2 linked regions of the Canis lupus familiaris genome follow. The protein of the gene in region 1 purifies or fractionates together with the protein of each later gene. This does not show direct contact. Links are inferred from orthologs where the notes say so. Each region holds a gene or a part of one and is shown in the gene's direction. Other genes may lie near its edges.

What was found.
Region 2: the proteins of NEURL4 (region 1) and CEP290 purify together in Homo sapiens (affinity purification with mass spectrometry; 3 studies listed by BioGRID and IntAct, with this or other methods). This does not show direct contact. The link is inferred for Canis lupus familiaris from reciprocal best matches to the Homo sapiens genes NEURL4 and CEP290.

The regions. Positions count from the first base shown.
Region 1 is NC_049226.1:32,487,702-32,497,794, reverse strand, and holds the start of NEURL4 (neuralized-like protein 4), read left to right. Parts: upstream 1-4,251; coding exon 4,252-4,515; intron 4,516-4,637; exon of another isoform or gene 4,638-4,757; coding exon of another isoform or gene 4,758-4,865; intron 4,866-5,379; coding exon 5,380-5,824; intron 5,825-6,038; coding exon 6,039-6,104; intron 6,105-6,254; coding exon 6,255-6,553; intron 6,554-6,700; coding exon 6,701-6,812; intron 6,813-6,893; coding exon 6,894-6,982; intron 6,983-7,460; coding exon 7,461-7,533; intron 7,534-7,665; coding exon 7,666-7,930; coding exon of another isoform or gene 7,931-8,005; intron 8,006-8,175; coding exon 8,176-8,357; intron 8,358-8,547; coding exon 8,548-8,633; coding exon of another isoform or gene 8,634-8,645; intron 8,646-8,754; coding exon 8,755-8,917; intron 8,918-9,057; coding exon 9,058-9,256; intron 9,257-9,343; coding exon 9,344-9,420; intron 9,421-9,545; coding exon 9,546-9,624; intron 9,625-10,003; coding exon 10,004-10,093. Other genes in the region: uncharacterized protein LOC106558815, read right to left, coding at 756-964, 1,244-1,492, 1,589-1,677, 1,894-1,965, 2,104-2,211, 2,589-3,085. UniProt on the Homo sapiens protein: Promotes CCP110 ubiquitination and proteasome-dependent degradation. By counteracting accumulation of CP110, maintains normal centriolar homeostasis and preventing formation of ectopic microtubular organizing centers.
Region 2 is NC_049236.1:29,570,663-29,580,283, reverse strand, and holds the start of CEP290 (centrosomal protein of 290 kDa), read left to right. Parts: upstream 1-390; 5' UTR 391-621; intron 622-1,144; exon of another isoform or gene 1,145-1,158; 5' UTR 1,159-1,186; coding exon 1,187-1,288; intron 1,289-1,438; coding exon 1,439-1,516; intron 1,517-2,549; coding exon 2,550-2,619; intron 2,620-2,883; coding exon 2,884-2,930; intron 2,931-5,578; coding exon 5,579-5,722; intron 5,723-5,841; exon of another isoform or gene 5,842-5,906; intron 5,907-9,621. UniProt on the Homo sapiens protein: Involved in early and late steps in cilia formation. Its association with CCP110 is required for inhibition of primary cilia formation by CCP110.

The DNA.
Region 1 (10,093 bases):
CTTGTGTCCAGCGAAGCCGCAGGGTTTCGTCTGCAGAGAGAAAGGACTGGGCTACTGGCTTTCTTGAAGCGGCCAGGAGATCCGGCCCACATTACTCCGAAACTCCCTGGAACCACCCACTCAGGCCCTCTCCCTCCCTGGCCAGCACAGGCAGCCTCTCGCCCCTGCCCGGGCTCACGTCTGCATTGGTTTTGGTGTGGGGAATTTCAATTGCTTCCAGGTTCTCTCTCCAAACTTTCCGGACTCTGCCAGTTGAGCCCCTTGGATACCAGCCACTGACACCAGCCTGACTCTGCTCTGTCTTTGGAGGACAGGCCGGCTCCTGGAGGGGGGCGGGTAGCAGAGAGGAGTCAGGGAGCAGGCGTGGGGCCAGTGGATAGTGCCATGCTGGAGAGGGCCCCAAATCCTTTGGAGTCTCCCTGGTTCCTCTCTGAACAACACAGGCCTTGCACACCAGGATGCTTGGGACCATGCTCAGTAACCATTGCTGATCCACCGGTATGCAAAGAAGGGGAGCTGGGGGGCTGAGTGCTTGTCAAAAGCCAGACACTGTGGCCTGGTGCCCTCACCAGGCTGTGATGTCGCCACTGTCCCCGTCAGGCAGTCTTCAGTGGCCTGGTGATCCTGAACAGGGTTTCCTGTGTGGTCCAGCAGACGGACCTCTGTGCTTATGGGGTTCTCAATCACCCAGTTAAAATTTACTGAGCCTGCAAGCATCACGGGATCAAGATTGGGGCACCCCACTAGTCTGCTGGCTACCAGCACCCCCCGTCCCAGGCTGACCCAGCCCAGCTCTCACTGTCCTGCTGGTCATGCTCATCTTCTGTGTCCTCCTCGAGCTCCGGGTGTGGGGAGCACCTCAGGTACCTCCCTTTGCTATAATACTCTTTTCGTTGCAGGCCAATCTCCTTGTCTGACGTGATGGCGGCTGAAACTGGGCACTGATTTCGGAAGCTACGGGAATCTGGAGAGTCACCCCAATGATCTGAGTCTTCCAGCCACGTCGGGGGTCTAGGACCCCCAGGTGTCCATAATGCCCTCCCTCAGGGGAGAAGCTCAGGCCCCCGATTTTCATCTCAATTCTGTGTCCTCCTCCCATGTGAGAAAACCCTGGTGACCTATCCATTCCCCAGGGCTGTCTCAGGCTTCCCGAGGGCCGTTATGCTGAGGACCCCACCTCCTCCGCCTTCTATCTTCCCTGGGGGTGCCTCCCATCACCTCCCTCTCAGGCACCACAGCTGACCCTTGACTTCCAAGAGGTGGTTCCTGGTCACCAGGCCAATCTCATCTTTGACTCCTCTGGCCAGTCCTCCCGGCCAGCCTCTCTCCGCAGGCCTGGGCTCTGGGTCCCGCATTATGCCTCGACTGCTACTGCCCATGCTAGTGCTAGCCCCGTCACTGTGCTTATTACTGGAAGAAGGATTTTTCTGAGCTGTAAGGAACTTTCCTTCGTCGTAGTGTGACTTTCGGTGCTTTTCAAAATCACTGGAGTCTGTGGGCCATTGTGAGAGCTTGGCTTTCCCGCCAGGCTCCCATGGAGGGTTCACTCTGCCTCCCCTTTCTCCTCAGTCCCGACCCCTCATCTCACGTGTCTTGGAAAAGTTGTCTGAAGACCCTGGGCTTCTGTTATCATCGTACTGTAGGACCTTGGGGTACAAATTGTCCATTGTTGCAAACCTGAAGGGGAGGGAGACTAGTTGGGGGCGCCAAAGGGGAGATCACAAGGGGGGCCTAGCTGGGCTGACTCCCTGATCTTGACCTTGGTCAGTCCTGATAGCAGGGAACTGTACCACCTCTCATTTTGGTGGCCGAAAAAGCAGAACTGGCTCTGACCCCAGGGGTGAGGTTAGGAAGAGGCCTCACATCTCTTCTGATCTCTGGCTGGACTCTCACCTCTCAGCCAGCGCCTCAGGAGTCACTGTGCAAGAGGATGCTCCAGGCAGGTCCTCATCACCGTCCTGCAGCCTGCAGAGGAGGGAGGAAGCAGTGCTGGGATGCAGGCATCAGGCTGTGCCCAGTTCTTGGGGTCTCTCTGCCTCCCCTTCTACCCTCTCTGAATAGGGAAGGTTCTGGGCTGAATGATGAGGGCTGAGGGCTCAGCACCTGTGGTAGGGAGTGCTGGGCTCATCCACCTTCATGAATCCATAGTCCTTGTCAGCAGGGTGGTAGGTGGCCAGAATATTCATCTCATCCCACCGCTGAGACTTTTTCCTGGAATAGGGGTAGGACCCAAGAGAGGAGAAGGAAATCTTCCAGTGACCTTCCCTTCACAACCCTCCCTCGTTCCTTCAGTTATTCAAAAACCTTTCTCTTGTATCCTCTCGTGATCTCAGAGGCGCAGGAGCCTGAGGATGGCGAGGCGAGGGTGCCATACCTGATGATAATCACATACTGGCCTGACAACGTTTACTGGGCCCCAGCTGCGGCCCCAGAGAGCCTGGAACCCGAGAATTCCCAGCTCACAGCCCTCAGCCGCTCTCCTTCCTAGTTCTTAGGACACCACCCTCTCCCCTAGCTCCGCCCCCTCCAGTGTCGGGAACCCCGCCCTCCGGGCTCCGCGCCGCTGCCCCCTGAGCGGGGCTCCTTACTTGTCCGCATGGAGGCACTTCTGCATCAAGATGGAGCTGCTGTTTTTTAGGATGCTCCGGGGTCGGCCCTCACCAGGTTTGTGGGAGTGCGAGCAAGTTGACCCGGAGCGCGGCGGACTGCATCCCGAGTTGTACACCCCAGAGCCCCCAGACCCGAGGCCGCAGGTCCCGGATACACTGGTTCCAAGGAAGGGGGCATTGAATCCGTCAGGGTTTGGGCAGGACCCGGCGCTCAGGCCCGCAACCTCCCCAGGGTGCTGGCTGGGCCCGGAACCGGGGACTGCTACCCTCGCCGAGGGCCGGCTAACTCTAGGACTGCGAGTTACGATCCCTCCAGAGTGCAGGGGGGGCTCAGAACCGTGAAACAAGGCAGCACCGGAGGGCGGCCCGGCATCTGCCTCGACTCCTCCGACGCCTCCTAGCGCTCCCCTGCTCGCCCCTCCCGGAGACTCCCCACCGAGGCCGCCAGCGGCCCCCACAGCCTCCGGCTTCTCCATGGCCCCTCCCGGGGGCCCCTCTCAGCTGCCCCGCCCCCACATAACCCCGCCCCGAGGCCCCGCCCCCACCGCGCCGGGCGGGGGACGCTCTGGCAGAGGCCCGGGTCCACTTCCGCTCCGCTCTCCGGGGCCGCGATCCGGGGTTCCAGACTCTAAGTAGGGCCCTCGGGCTGGGGGGTTGCCCTCTGGTTGCCTCTCTCTGTCCCACCCAAAGGCCTTCTTTGTCTCTGGGATTTGTTCCCGCCCTTCTTCCCCATCACCGCCTTCATCCGAATTATCCAATCACAATCGGGGGTCCCGGTTACGGGCGAAAAGCCTTGATTGTGACGTCACAGCCTTTCAGCCTCAGCGCGAGCTCGCAGAGTTGGGCTGGGGGCTTGTTCCTAGCTCGGGGGTCTTTTTGGGGGGGCGGGGGTCAATTCCTCAGCGCCGTTGCTGGAAACCACCTGCCAAGGTTTCACTGGACTGTTTATCCGTGGCTTTAAGATTTAAGGGTCTGGCTGGATGGGAGTTCACGGTGGGCTTATCTGGAAGTACTGCCAACCCCTTTAGCCTCCGCCGGCCCCCTCCCCAAAGTTGGCCTGCTGTGCCCCTCACGAGAGGTGTGATACAAAGCGACGAGGTTGCGACAGTGTCGCAAAGACGTAGCCGCGCGGCGCCGAGGTGTTCATTTATAAAGCGCCCGGCTCCCTTCCCCAGGTCCTAAGGCCGCTGCTCACCCACTGCGAAGGCTGTGGCGCGAGGGGAACACACCCCCTCCGCCCGCCGTAAAGCGGCTTCCTAGAGGGGCCGCGTACCTCGGCGAGGGCGGGGTCGTCGGCGCCGCTGTTGCCAAGCTGAAGGTGGGGCGGACCCCCTGCGTCGTAAAGGGGCCTGCGGCTGTCGTTTCCTCTTCTGTCGCAAAAGCTCCCTGTCCTAGCCCACACGCCTTTGAGAGCCTCGCCGTCACCCCGCCGTGCCGTAAAGCAAGCCTGCCCGACCCCGTCGTCCTCCGTTCCCACCGTGGTGGGTTACTAGTTCCCTAGCCCGGGATGCTTCCTCGCCCGGCAGTGCCGTAAAGCATACCCGGCCCCAGCGCGGAATCCCGTTCCCTCTGGGTGTCTGTGCGTCGCGGTTGCCACGGTGCCGCCAAGCGCGGCTGTCGCGCGGCCCCGGTGTCAGCGGCGATGGCGGCGGGGTCGGGTGGGAGCGGGGGCTCCGGGGGTGGCCCCGGGCCGGGGCCTGGCGGGGGTGGGGGCCCCGGCGGGAGCGGCGCAGGGCCGGGGTCCGGCGGGGAGTTGCACCCCCGCACCGGGCGCCTGGTGAGCCTGTCGGCCTGCGGGCGTACCGCGCGGCGGCAGCAGCCGGGCCAGGAGTTTAACCACGGGCTGGTGTTGAGCCGGGAGCCCTTGCGCGATGGACGCGTCTTCACCGTCCGCATCGACCGCAAGGTGCGGAGCGGGGCCCGCGGGAGGGAGGCGGGAGGGGGCGAGCGGGAGACGCGGGGCGGGACGGCCGGGCTGGCCTCCGCCGCCGGCTGCCGAGAGCGAACCGACACACCGTCGCGGCACCAGGCGGCGGGCGGGGAAGGGGAGAGGGACGGCGAGAGCTTTAGATTGCTCGAGACCCCGGAGCAGGGAACGGACACGGGACGCTGCCACCCCAGGGGTGGTTAGGGTCCAGATCTCCCGGGATGGTTTCTGGGGAGGTGAAAAGATGGAGGGATGTCGGGGATGTGGTAGGAGCGCAGGAGAGAAGCCGGGGAAGGACCGGCCGTTGGAGGATCAGCTGGGGCGAAGAGGTGGGTGAGGAGAGACCCTCAGGGGGGCCGAGGGGAGGTGTGCCTGCTTGTGTGCCCCTCGGAGAAGAGGCCAGGTGCACACAGATGGAACTTGGGAAGAGAGGGAATCTGAGTGGAGCAGGAGCCCTGGAGAAAATGAGGTCGGGGGTGGGGGGAATTGGGAGGGGGGAGGAGGGTGGTAGACAGGAGCTAGGAGGATGGGCATGGAGAGCCGGGAACTTGGATGCTGGAAGCCAGGGGGGCTGCAGCCAGGGCATGGTGGTGTTGGGGACAGATCCCAGAGTGGGGGCAGAGTTGCTGGGGTACAGCGGGCCCAGCAGTCCCTGAGACAGTCCAGATGATTGCTCACAGGACCACCTCTCTAGAGTCGTGTCTTGGGTCTCAATAGAGAAAAGCCAGTTAGCTGTTAGGGGTGTGGAGAGAGGGGGACACGTGGTTTGTGAAATGTGGTTTCCTAGTGGTTGGGGACCCACGGTAGCCCATCCTGAGCCTCTGTCCACCACCCTTATCACAGGTCAACTCCTGGAGTGGCTCCATTGAGATTGGGGTGACGGCCCTAGACCCCAGTGTTCTGGACTTCCCAAGCAGCGCCACAGGGCTGAAGGGGGGCTCATGGGTAGTGTCAGGCTGCTCGGTGTTGAGGGATGGACGCTCTGTGCTGGAGGAGTATGGTCAGGACCTGGACCAGCTTGGTGAAGGGGACCGTGTGGGCGTGGAGCGCACAGTTGCTGGGGAGCTGCGGCTCTGGGTGAATGGGCGGGACTGTGGTGTTGCCGCCACGGGCCTCCCCGCCCGGGTCTGGGCCGTGGTGGACCTTTACGGCAAGTGCACCCAGATCACCGTGCTGCCCCCCGAGCCAGGTTTCAGCCCCCCTGCTCCCATCCCCACACCTCCCCTCGAGCCCTCTGCACCCCCTGAAGATTCCACCTTGACTGAACAGGCGACCTCTGGGGATGAAGGTGAGAACCCAGCCAGGGCCGAGGGGAAGAGGCGGGGCAGGGGGAGTGGCAGAAGGCATGGGTGACTAGTGACCATGGAGTCTGGGTTCGGGTAGGGCCACTCAGACCCCAGTCTGCTGAAGGGGAAGCAGGGGCTACAGGAGGGGTGTCCTGGTTGTGGGCCCCGCAGCAGGGGCTGGACCCTCATTCCCCTCCCACCCCGCCTGGTCCCCAGCCTTCATGGTGTCCCCAGCGCAGCCCCGGCCGGAGACGTTTCCTAACAGCCTTGAGTCGCATAATGGTGAGGGCACCCTGGAGGCTTTGGGAAGGGGAATGGGAAGTGAGGCGGAAGGTGAGGGGAGGGGGCCCTCAGGAGAGGATTAGGGGGAGAGTGGAGGGCCTGAACGTGTAGAGCCTCATTCCGGCTTCCCTCCCCTGTCCTGCCGCCTAGACTTTGCCAGCATGGAGCTCTCTGAGGTGGTGGGCAACGCCATCCTTTCTGCCTACAACGGGGGGCTCCTAAATGTGAACCTGAGCTCCCCACCGGCAGGGGAAGGACTGGGGTCTGGCGGGGCTGCCACCTCGCCCATCCTCACCTCCAACGACGCCCTGCTCTTTCACGAGAAGTGTGGGACTCTCATCAAACTCAGCAACAACAATAAGACAGCTGAGCGCCGCCGGCCCCTGGACGAATTCAACAACGGGGTTGTCATGACCAACCGCCCTCTCCGGGACAATGAGATGTTTGAGGTGTGTGAGGTCCTGGGCCCTGGCTGGTACCTCACCCTCTGGGAACCAAAAATGGGGCTCGATCCCTGACATTGGAAGGGTGGGGCCGAGGGTCCTCTCTCCACATTGACATGCCCTCCTCTCCCTCCTGCTGTCGCTCCCCCCAAGATCCGCATTGACAAGCTCGTAGACAAGTGGTCGGGCTCCATTGAGATTGGTGTCACCACCCACAACCCCAACAACCTGGAGTACCCTGCCACCATGACCAATTTACAGTCAGGTACCAGCCCTGGCGGGGCGGGGACACCTTCCCATGGTGAAGGAAGGCCTGGCCTGATGCCGGGCGTCTGCCTTCCCACAGGCACCATCATGATGAGCGGCTGTGGGATCCTGACCAATGGCAAGGGCACCCGCCGGGAGTACTGTGAATTCAGCCTGGATGAGCTGCAGGTAAGGGGTGGGCGTGCAGTCTGGGCCGCGCTCTGGGGCAGCCTTGTTACCCAGCACCCCTGCCCGGGCACCCCAGTCTCCGCTGTGACCTGGAACAAGGCTTCTGATCTTTCTCCGAGAGGTTCCTTCTGAGAAGGCACGGTTGCCTGGTAGTTAGGCACTCAGATTTCAGAGCCAGAGGTTTTCTTTTTTTCTGAGGGGTCGTGTGGGGTCATGACTACAGTCAAGAAGCTTGCTCACTATGTTTGGTATGGGTTTCTTTTTTTCTTTTCTTCTCCACGCCTGAGATGAGCTCATGAATTGCTTGGAGAGGTGGCTAAGGTGCTGTGTATGAGGTGGCTTCACCCTGTGCCAGACTTGCTGTGAGGGAGGGTTCAGGGGCTCAAGACTCAGGTGCCTTTGGGGCTGTTCCCCTGCGGCCTGGGCCAGAGCCTGATTGGAGGCGGATTCCAGATCTTTGTTTTTCTGCTCTGACTAGGAGGGCGACCACATTGGTCTCACAAGGAAGTCCAACTCAGCCCTGCACTTCTTTATCAATGGCATTGATCAGGGTAAGGAGATACCTGAGGCAGGCCATTGGGCTAGGGCTTTCGGTGTTGGGCAGGGGTCTGTACCTCACCGTCCTGTGTCTCCCTGATGCTGGTCTCCCCATATTCCTTCCCTCTCTGCCTTCTCCCCGGCAGGCGTGGCTACCCCACTGACACCCCCAGTGGTGTACGGCGTGGTGGACTTGTACGGGATGGCTGTGAAGGTGACCATCGTCCACAATAACAACCACAGCGACCGGCTGCGTCGAAACAATGCCATCCTGCGGGCACTGTCCCCCGAGGGCGCCCTGCGTCGCGCCACTCCTGCCACCCAGGCAGAGCCCGAGCGCCTGCTCTTCCACCCTAACTGCGGGCAGAAGGCAGCTATCACCCACGAGGGACGCACTGCCCTGAGGCCCCAGTATGGCCCATGGTGTGGGGAGAAGCCTGCTGCAGGGACTCTAACAGGATCGGAGGAGGGGTGGAGAAGCAGGAGGCAGGCGTGGGGGGGGGTGTGTGGCTTCTGACCTGGGGAGTTCTTGATAGTATGGGGGGGTGCCTCCTGGAGAGTGAAGTTCAGCCACGTGGCTCAGCACCACAGGTGTGAGGTGGGCACTGGCGGGCTAAGCTTTGGTGTGCTCAGTTACGCATTCGCTGTGCCCTCAGTGCCACAGATGACTTCAACCATGGCGTGGTGCTGAGTAGCAGAGCCCTGCGGGACGGAGAGGTGTTTCAGGTGCGCATCGACAAGATGGTGGACAAGTGGGCTGGCTCCATTGAGATTGGTGTCACCACCCACAACCCTGCCTACCTCCAGTTGCCCTCCACCATGACCAACTTGCGCTCTGGTGAGCTCCCAAGGAGGGCGGGGCCAGGATCAGGTCCTAAGGGGGAAGCTGCCCCCACAGCCCCCACGGAGCTGGCTTGTTCTTGTTTTGCTGCGGCGGCCTGCCACGGGGGCGAGGAGTGCCGTGGGGGCTGTGAAGGGCAGGGGGCCCGGGGCTCACTTATGTGCTCTGTGTTTCCTCGTTCTCCTAGGGACCTGGATGATGACCGGGAATGGGGTGATGCACAACGGAACGACCATTTTGGACGAGTATGGGCACAATCTGGACCGCCTCAAGGTGGGGGAGCAGGTGTGCCGCCCAGGCCTGGTGATGGGGGGCAGGCCCATCGGGGCTGCTATAGGACTAGCCCAGGCGGGAACTCTGCCTGACTCCTCACTCCAGCCCCCCTTCTTCCAAGGCAGGGGACACTGTGGGCGTGGTGCGGCGGGAGGACGGGACCCTGCACTTCTTCGTCAACGGGATGACCCAGGGCCCTGCGGCCTGGAATGTGCCCCCTGGCGTCTACGCTGTTGTGGACCTCTATGGCCAGGCAGCCCAAGCTACCATTGTGGATGACGTGGGTGAGGGCTGGGATGGGTAGGAGCTGGGGGGTGCTGGGGTGGCCTGGGGTGGCTACCGCCCAGGCCTGGTAGGAGCTGGGGGGTGGCTGGGGGGCCTCGGAGACCACTGGAAGCCTAACGGGTGATGACCACTCTCACAGAGGTGCCCCCGGCCCCTGAGCCCCTCTCTGAAGGGAACAACCAGGTGTCTCCCAGCTCCCCATCATCAGGGGCCGGGGGCTCTGACCTGCGCTTCCATCAGCTGCACGGCAGTAATGCAGTCATCACCAACGGGGGCCGCACCGCACTCCGGCACAACTGCCGCAGCGAGTTCAATGACGCCATCGTCATCTCCAACCGGTCAGTGTTGGCGCTGTCACGGCCCCAGCCTCCCGCCGCCCAGCCTTGGCCACCCAACTGGGGCCTGATTGCCGCTGTCTCTGGCAGGGCCCTGCGGGACGGAGAGCTGTTTGAAATCGTTATTCAGAAGATGGTGGACCGCTGGTCAGGCTCCATTGAGGCTGGTAAGGGGCACCTGTGCATTTCTGCATGCGTGCATGCACGTGTGTGACAGACTCTGTGTGCTGGGGATGGTGCTGGCTGCCCGTTGCTGGAGCCTTGGTTCTGACCCCCTGCTGCTACCTCCTAGGAGTGACTGCCATTCGGCCGGAAGACCTCGAATTCCCCAACACCATGACAGACATTGACTACGACACATGGATGCTGAGGTTAGGCTGCCTGTGGGGACAGCCAGCCTGGCAGGGTCAGGTGGAGCTAGTGAGGATGAGGGAAGCCAGCTTTGGGGCCTTCGGTGGCCCTGGACAACGACAGGTCCAAGGGATCGGGTCGCTCTTTTCTTTCCATTCTGGGAAGTGCTCCCATGTCACCACGCACCCCACGGTGGCCCAGCTTCCTTTTCTCCTCTTATGGCAGCTCCCGCTTTTCTCTGTGGGTGGTCCCCAGAGGTATGGGAGACAGGATTGGGTCTCAGACCCCAGATGAAGATCCTGATGCAAGGCACTGGAAGGTTCTGACGATCAGAGACTGCTCAGAGGCCTGTGTGGGGAAGAGGCGGGAGGCTCAGCGGTCCTTCTGTCCTCTCTCCAGTGGCACGGCCATCATGCAAGACGGGAACACGATGCGCAACAACTACGGGTGTGACCTGGACGCCCTGGGCACGGGTGCACGCATCGGCAT
Region 2 (9,621 bases), on another chromosome or scaffold:
CGGCTTAGGGAAATCCCGGGAAAAGCGGCCCGGCTGGTGACGCCACCGAAGGCACAGTCATGGTCTACCTCATTCAGGTCACCGGCGCAGACGCGCCTCAGCCACCGCGCCTCCCGCCTCTGGGTCGTTCCCCCGCTACCCCCGCGCGGTCGCAGCCTCCCGCATTGCACGCCGGGAACAGCCTACCTCCCTAGACTTCAGTTCCCAGCATGCACGAGCTTCCGAGCAGAACTGCGTTCTGGGATTTGGAGTCCTTTTGCCCTCGCCTTCTCCCCGTCTTTCACACAGAGTCCAAGGGGCCCCGCGGGAGGATCTAAACGCAAAGCATCACTCAAGGTCGTGAAATGTAGGCTCCCCTCGCATCCGGGGCCTTGCGCCGTCCTTCGCGGGGTGGGGAATGGTGTCGCCTAGCAGCCGCCGCCGCTCTGGCTTGCACTGCACCAGTTGGCGGGATCCAGAGTCCCGGTGGAACGGCGCCGGGGAGCGGTCGGGCGTGGCGGCGGGGCCAGGCTCGACCCGGGGGGCGGATCGGGGGCCGCTGCTGATCGCCAGGCTCGGTTCGGTGGGTGGATCTTGGAGTGGATCTTGATGAGCAGGAGCAGCCAGTTTCTTCCCAAGCAGGTTCTTTAAGCCTCAGGGCCCGTACGTAACAGCCTAGCTTCCCCACTGCTTAGCCTGGTCTGCAACCCATCTGCCTTCTTCTAGCTGCAGCCCTGCTTTCCCTGGCCTAGCTGCGCTCATTTCAGTCGTTTATTTCTGCACTGTTTTTATTATTATTATTTTTAAACCGCTCCTGTTCTTGCTTCTCCGAATCAGGATTCATTCTCAGCCTTCCAAGCACCCCCCTCGTTTTGGCACCACTAGATGTTCGCGCGCCTTGGTGGTAAGGGGGCGTGGAGGAGGGGATTCAGAATCTTAGTTCTGCCCTAGGTTAGTTTTAGAAGAAATCACTCCTAGTTTACAGGCGGTGCAGGATCTGTTGATTTGTGCCAGCTGTCATAGTTTTGATCAATGCTATTATGCCCACTTATCTCTTATGCAATTAGGGAGCCATACCTCTTTGCTAACACCATAGAGAGTTAAAATGATACAATCTATAAAAATAGTAATGCTGTTTATCTTGAAAATGCTAACACCCACCTACCTGTCTTGTTCCAGAAGGTAAAGCGCAGTGAAAGATTTCAAGATGCCACCTAATATAAACTGGAAAGAAATAATAAAAGTTGATCCAGATGACCTGCCTCGTCAAGAAGAATTGGCAGATAATTTACTGGTTTCCTTATCCAAGGTGCTTAATTTATAAACAGTGCATCTATCTATGTACAACTGTGATTAATCCAAGTTGTCCCTGAGATCAATGAATGTTACAAATAGAAGAGTTTTTACATTTTGACTAAGGGTTATAAAACATAAAATAGATGCTTTTCTCTTTACTTAGGTGGAAATAAGTGAGCTAAAAACTGAAAGTCAAGAAAATGTGATACACCTTTTCAGAATTACTCAATCACTAATGAAGGTTTGTATGCAGTAGGTTTTAACAATATTTGACTATTAGAGGACATTTAAGGAGCTCTTAAATAAGTTAATTGTTATGAAGGTATTTGTAATATCAAAATCACTCAAAAAGAGATCTCTTTCAAATATGGACTGAGAATTTTAGTGTGCAAAGCATTGCTCGATTCTGCTCCAAAGTTCCTAAAAGAATGCATAAGGGAAACAGAATGGGTATGTTTAAAAATAATATAGCAACTCATTTGTGATTATGTTAACATAATCCTGAAGTCAGAATGAAAAATGTGAATGACTTGTAAGGGGTTTGTTAGGAGAGGAAGAGATTTAGGTGAGAGAAGGCCTCATAAAGGGCAAAGAGTGATGAGCAATTTTAGGTAAGTAGAAAGCAGTGGCAAATGTTAAAAAGCTTCTACAGCTGGACATCACAAGTAAAATCTGGGACTAGAAAATGTGCTTATTTTTTACAGTTGAGACAGGTGCAGAAAGTTTATAGTAGGTTGTAGAGGAAACTAATGTTGGTTATAGTTAGCAGTAGGCCGTCAAGGGTATTACAGGTGTATTTTATGTTGCTATTAGCAATGAGGAGCCATGAGAGGTTTTTGAGCCTAATTGATAAGTGCAAAAGTATGCCTTAGGAAGGCTTCAACTAGGTATATTAATAGGACTAAGTGAAGGGAATTGAAGCTATTTAGAGATAACATGGTGAAGAAGGTTAGATATAAGATTATGGGCTAGAATAATGACAAATGGAATAGAGAAACATAGTAGAAAGCATTACAAAGGGCAAAGTTACAGTACTGGATATAAGACTTGAGGGAGAAAAGAGGAATCAATATACTTCAAGCTGTTAGGAATCTAGGAATTATGTCCTTAAGAAAATCATCTATTCATTCAACAAATATTTACTGAAAGTCTCCATATCCCAGGCACTGAATGACAAATAAATATTGGGAAAGCAAATGAAACAAAGTTCTCATTTTCATTTTCAGTGTGTATGTAAAGGCATATTGAAATAACCTTTCTTTTTTAATGTTTAGATGAAAGCTCAAGAGGTTGAGCTAGCTTTGGAGGAAGTTGAAAAGGCTGGAGAAGAACAAGCAAAATTTGGTAAATGTCCTGGAAAAGTTTATCACAATGTTAAGTAGGGGGGCTTCTGTTTAATATACTCTATAAAATATACATGCTCAGTTTATTTTGTAAGAAATTTCTAGCATTCATATTTCCTGGATGAGGTATAAAAGTCATTTTTTCTTATGTTACTTATTATAATCATGATGGAGTCTTTAGAAATAATTTTATTACTTTGTTGAAATTTATTTAAAAGTTTGTTTTGAGATGAATCTGACCAATTGAAACTTTTTTTTTAAATAGAAAATCAATTAAAAACTAAAGTAATGAAACTGGAAAATGAACTGGAGGTAAGTTCTTTTCTATTACCTAGGGGGTAACTGTTGTTTATTTTGAATTACTGTTTTCGATTTTTTATCATTGGCTGGAAGAAACCACAAGAATGACATTGTGTTCATAATTAGTTGTTTGTTCGACATACATTTTACACGTTTACCATGTACCTTAAGTTCTTAGGATTGAACATCCAATAGTGAACAAAATAAAAATATTCAGTCACCCCCCCAAAGCTTACAATCTAGAGAGGTGTACAGAAGACTACTAGCAACTGAACTGAAGTGGAGGAACATGGGAATTTGAGGAATACTGGTGGAAGGATTTGGTAGAAGTAGTTTTTGAGAAAATTAGGAGCCAAATATGAATGTATTGTTAACCAAAGATTTTGAAATTCCTGACAATGTGGGAAGGAGTGTGATACAAATGGATTAGCCTTTAAAAGGGGGAAAGACCTTCTTCCCTTTTTTTTTTTTTTTAAGATTTTATTTATTTATTCATGGGAGACACAGAGAGGCAGAGACACAGGCAGAGGGAGAAGCAGGTGCCCTGTGGGGAGCCGGAAGTGGGACTCATCCCAGGACTCCAGGAACACGCCCCCAGGCCAAAGGCAGGCACTAAACCGCTGAGCCACTCTGGGATCCCGACCTTCCTTTGTAATGGGAAGAATGGATGTGTGCAGAAGCTTTTATGTTTATAGGTTTAGTACCTAGAAGTTGAGAGGTTGGAGTGAAGGCCCATTTACTAAAAATAAGAGTGGAAGATGTGTGATCAAATTTTAAGGAAAATTAAGCTTGAAATACTTGTGGAATATTTCAAGTACTCAGTGGAGAATGAGCTGGAGATTAGGGGATCTGGAGTCAGACAGTTTGAGTTCAAATCCTGATTCTTTTATTTACTAACTGTGAAGTGGGATGAGTTATTTTTGTTCCCTATAATATATCTATATTCTAGAAAAATATCAGTCATTCTCAATAAATACTTACTAAATGAATTATGAAATCAGATTGATTCTGTTAGTGTTTAGACAGCTACAGTAGAATGGAAGGATAGGACAGTGGGAGATATTGGTAAGAAAGTGGTTGATTAAAATAATGATTATGAAATCTCAGCTGAATGGGTAAATCAAGATTTGAATGAGAGGTTAGAAAGGGGTCAAGGAATTAGAGGCTCCTGTGAAGTCAGAGGGTGGGTATACTAGGAATCATGAGACAATGTTTGCACTGGACAAGGTTCTGGTGTGGGCAAGAGAGTGGGAGGCTATAGTGAATTCAAGAAGCATGTGAAAAAAAAAGAAGAGAGAGAGACTAGAATGAAAGTTATATGGGTATGAAAACTGCTTATGGGGTCTTTTGGTGGAACACTATGAGCCATGTGCCAAAAATTGCCAACGAATTTTGAGGGGGCTCAACTGGGAAGTTAGTAGTTTGCTGCTACCATGAATAGGTAGGGATTGAATAGCTGGTTATCATGTGGAATTCATAGCAGCCAGAGTTTTCATAAGATGGTGGAAGAATGATAGCCTGAAAGTTGCAAGTTGAGGTAAATCAACACCTTCTCTTGACCCTGAGGTCTATGGGATGTGAAAGAATGAGCATCTTCCAAAGAGTTCCAAAGTATTTAGTATACTAAAGGAACCAAATTGCAGCTAAGGAGGGGAGATGGAGAACATGATTCAGTAAAAGGGCCAAGAGTGTATTTATGTATTAATATTTTATTAATGTATCTTGAAAGAAGATTTTTGAGAGCACAATAGAAAGTGTTCTGAAGGAGGAAAAGAGTAAGAAAAAGCTATTTATTTTTTTTATTTTTATTTTTTTTAATTTTTTTTTATTTATTTATGATAGTCACACAGAGAGAGAGAGTGAGAGAGGCAGAGACACAGGCAGAGGGAGAAGCAGGCTCCATGCACCGGGAGCCCGACTTGGGATTCGATCCCAGGTCTCCAGGATCGCGCCCTGGGCCAAAGGTGGGCGCCAAACCGCTGTGCCACCCAGGGATCCCGAAAAAGCTATTTAATATATAAGAATAACACAGCTGTATGGTAAAGAGATGAATGTGAGACAGGTAGATGCCAAAGGATATGTTTTGGACTGTGACCGAAAATAACAGGAATATGAAGTGAAATGGATTTAATCTGCCACAAGAGTTTTTTTTTTTTTTTTTTTTTTTAAGTAAACTCTATCCCCCTAACGTGGGCCTCAAACTCATGACCCTGAGATCAAGAGTTGAATGCTCTACTTACTGAACCAGCCAGGTGCCCTAATCTGGCCCAAGATTTTAAAGGTGATCTTGGTCTGAGCCATCCAGTACAGTAGCACTAATCACTTGTGGCTATTTACACTTAAATTCATTACAATAGAAATTAGAAATTCATTTCCGTAGTTGCAGTGGCCACATTTGAAGTTCACAAAGCCACTTGTAGATAGTGGCTCTGCTACTCAACCATTCAGAGAACATTTCCATTATCCTAGAAAGTCCTGTTGGACAGCCCTGGTTTAAATAGGGTACAAGGGAAAGGGTAGTTTAAGAGCAGCAGAGGTCAGTGTCTGGGTGGATTTTACATGATTTTAAACATCTGGTGCTGATTATATATAACAAATTTAAAGTCAATTTGTTGTTGAGTCTTCTAATGGGATTGATTTCTACTTTTGGTTTATTTAAGTTGGCACAGCAGTCTGCAGGTGGAAGAGACACTCGGTTTTTACGTGATGAAATTCGCCAACTTGAAAAACAATTGGAACAAAAAGATAGAGAATTGGAGGACATGGAAAAGGAGTTGGAGAAAGAGAAGAAGGTTAATGAGCAAGTAAGGCATATTTCCTCAATGAATTTTAACTGTTTAAGTTACCTAAAAACACCTGATTATGTTTTTATAATGGCAACTATCAATTTCTGTGTTTTATGTGAGAATAGATGTATGCTTACCTCTAAAGTTTTGTATTACTGTTCATGTTTTCATTATATCTTTGAATCAAATTCCATGGTTTTAGGAGTACTTCATATTGTGCAATAAATACCTATATGTAAAAAAAATATAGGTTCTTAAAAAGTTTGTTAAAGCCAGCATTTTTAAATCCATGTGTATTTTAAATCACAACATTTTGTCTTTTAGACAAATATAGTTATTACCTTTTGGATTATTATATTGTTATTTAGAAAATAATTCATCCAGTGTTCTCTTAAATTTAGTTTAAGGAAAAAATTTTTTGCAGGTGTATTTAGAAAATCCTGTCAGAAAACAAATTTCCTATTTTGCCTCACCTGTTAGTAAACTTTTATAGAATCTGCTGCCTAAGCATAGTAACATTCCATCCCTGATTCCCAGAAACTTTCACCTTTGTGTCCTTTTAGGTCAATATTTCATTACATCCTAATAATATTTGTCCATTGTTCTCTTAGAAGTAGAAGGCAATAAATTTTAAGTAAACAACAATGGTTATAAAGTGTTGTCGCTATTTTATAAGGTTATAAGGTGTTACAAATTGATTTGTAAAGAAAAACTTCCCTATTCTTGATATATTTATTTTCTTACATAATTAAAAGATTCATGTAAAAGTGATCTATCCATACCATTTTTGTGCTGAAAAATGTATGGATTGATGCCACCTAAAGGTTAGGAATAAGTTCTTAGAGGATTGTCTGTTTAGTTGACTTAATAAAACAAAGCAGACCTATGAATTTCTTAATAATCATTAAGGACTCAATCTATGATATACAGAAATAGATTTGCTTGTTAGGGGGATATCTGTCATTTTCCGAACTGTTCTTCCATCTAGCCCATATTAATCAACTTTTTGTCATTCATATCCATATCCTGTTAATCAGAACTATCTTGTCCATTCTTAGACTACTATCTATTCATAGAAACAAATACAGAAAACTTGAATATATGGCCTATGTACCATTCCAGTTGTTAGATTCTTTGAGATGGAATATGAGTTATTGGCAATTTCTTCTTTGCCCTTATTGAGTTTAGCTTGCCAGAGACTGTTAGATGCTAGGAATATAGAGGGTAATGTTATCCTGCTTCTTGATATTCATTGTCTATAATAAATGTAACATATCCCTACTCTGGGGAGGGATAACTAAATCAGTCTTGAGGTTCAGGAAATGATTTGTAAACTGAGACCTGAAGGACGCGGGTGGCTCAGTGGGTTAAGGGTCTGCCTTCAGCTCATGATTCCCCTTGATTCTCCCTTGATTCCTAGGGTCCTAGAATCAAGCCCACATTGGGCTCCCTGCTCAGTAGGGGATCTGCTTCTTTCTCTCTGCCTCTGCCCCGCCCCTGCTCGTGCTCTCCCATTCACATTCTCTCTTAAATAAAGAAAATCTTTAAAACAAATTATTAAAAACAAAACACCAAAAAGCAGACCTGAATTAGGAGTTAGTCTGGCAAGGGTATGGGGTATACGTGGTGGTTAAAGAAAGGGCATTCTGGGCTGAAGATACAGCATTTGCTAAGATCTAGAGGGAAGAGATGGCATGGTGAATTTAGGGAATTACAATTATTCATTTTGGCTGAAATATAGGTAAAAATGGCTAGTGTAGAATCCTTATTATGTGCCAGATACTTTATAGGCACTAATTTGTTGTTCCTTGTTTCATACATATCATTTGAGATAGGTAACATTTCCCCATGCTCCAGATAGGGAAACAGACAAAGAAAGGGTAATTGTCCATGGTTACAGAAATAATAAGTGGTAAAAACAGGATTTGAATCCAAACCTACTCAGTGAGTCTGTTCTAAACCACTGTACTATCTTGCCTTTGTAGTTTAAACATTTGTGATCCTCCGGAGAGATAAGTACAAGTCAGTTCCTGAGAAATTTGGTCTTTTTCCTAAAAGAAGAAGAATTTTGAATATGAGAATATCGTGATCAGATCTATACTTTTGATGTTTATTCAGCTTTATAGAGAGTGGATTGAAGAGGACTAAGAATAGTAAAGAGACATCTGTGCTAATTCAGGCAGGTGCTGATGATGGACTAATTAAAATCATGACTGAAGAGATTAAGGGATATAGACAGGTTTAGAGATGTACGTGTAATTGGATGTGTTGAATGGTTGTCAGGAGAGGGAGGAATGGAGAGTTTTCTGGGTTGGGCCACTGAATAATAAGGTAGTGTTATTCACTAAGTAGAGACATAAGAGAAATTTATAAGGTGTGTAATTACTACTCCAGTTTTCACTTTTGTTCATGTTAAGTTTGAGATTCCAGTGGGCATATTCAAAAAGAGTAACTGGTTTTGGAATTCATAAAACGCATTGGGTAGAGGGTGAAGGTTTGTGAGTTAGCAACATAGCTATGAAGCCGTAGAAATGACTGTAAGGGAGATCTCTGAGAAATGTCTAATGAAACAGGAAGAGGTGCTTTAAGGAACAGCATAAGACAAAAATCAAGAATGTGATGTTTGAAAAATTAAGGGAAAAGAGCATCAGTAGTACTAAATGCTTCAGTGGTAAGTTCTTGACATCTCTTTCCTAGTTAAAATTTTCCAATTCAAAACACAATAGGATTATTTCTTAACTCCCAGGCAACGATGGTGATGATGATGATGATGATGATGATGATAGTAGTAGTAGTAGGTACACTCTTGAAATTTCTCCGGTGTTTTGCATTTTATTATAAACTTTCTCTAAACTTTTTTAATTTTATTTTAATAAGTCTTAAAAAAATTTTTTTTTATTTATTTATGATAGTCACAGAGAGAGAGAGAGAGAGAGAGAGAGAGAGAGGCAGAGACATAGGCAGAGGGAGAAGCAGGCTCCATGCAGGGAGCCCGATGTGGGATTCGATCCCGGGTCTCCAGGATCGCGCCCTGGGCCAAAGGCAGGCGCTAAACCGCTGCACCACCCAGGGATCCCTCTAAACTTTTTATTTTGAAAACTATCATACCTTCCTAAATATTATAGGAAAAACAATAAGCATTCATATACTCTTCATACAGATTCACCAATTGTCAAAATTTTGCCACTTTTACTTTATCTCTCCATCAATATCTTTGTATTCACATAGTTCTCTCTCTTTGCTGAGCCATTTGAGAATTAACTGCTGCATATATCATGATACTTCATGAACACTAAAATATTTCAGCATGTGTCTCTGAAAAAGAGGAGTATTCTCCAATGTAATCATTATATAATTACCATATGCAGGAAATTTAATATTTTTCAATACTGTTACCTAATATCTAGTCTCTAATTGTATTTTTTTCCTTTGGCTTAATAATGCCCTTCATAGCCCTTCCACCCAAATCCAAGGTTCCATCAAGGGTCACATACTGCATTTGGTTATTTACTATAGACTTTTAAATGTATTCTAATTCCAAACCACTGATCTTTTACATTCTGCTTGAATGAGGGAGAAAAGTGAAAAGACATAAGAGGTTTGGACATTGTTTAAAAAAAAACTGTGATAATAGTTAATAAAATTTGTTTTGGGAAATAAAAGAATCACAAATGAAATCATTTATGTGAGAAGAAAACACTCCATAATTTTTTTGTTATTTCATGCACTGAGCATTGTGCTAAGGGACTTTATAAACATCATAGTTAATTTTTACATCAATATATGAGATGGGAAAATTGGATTTAAAAGATAGTAAATGGCTTGTTTGTACTCCACCAGAAATCAGTGGACAAAGAATATAAACCTGGGCTAGTCAGATTTCAGATTGCTTCTTTTTAACCATTATGTTGTGCTGC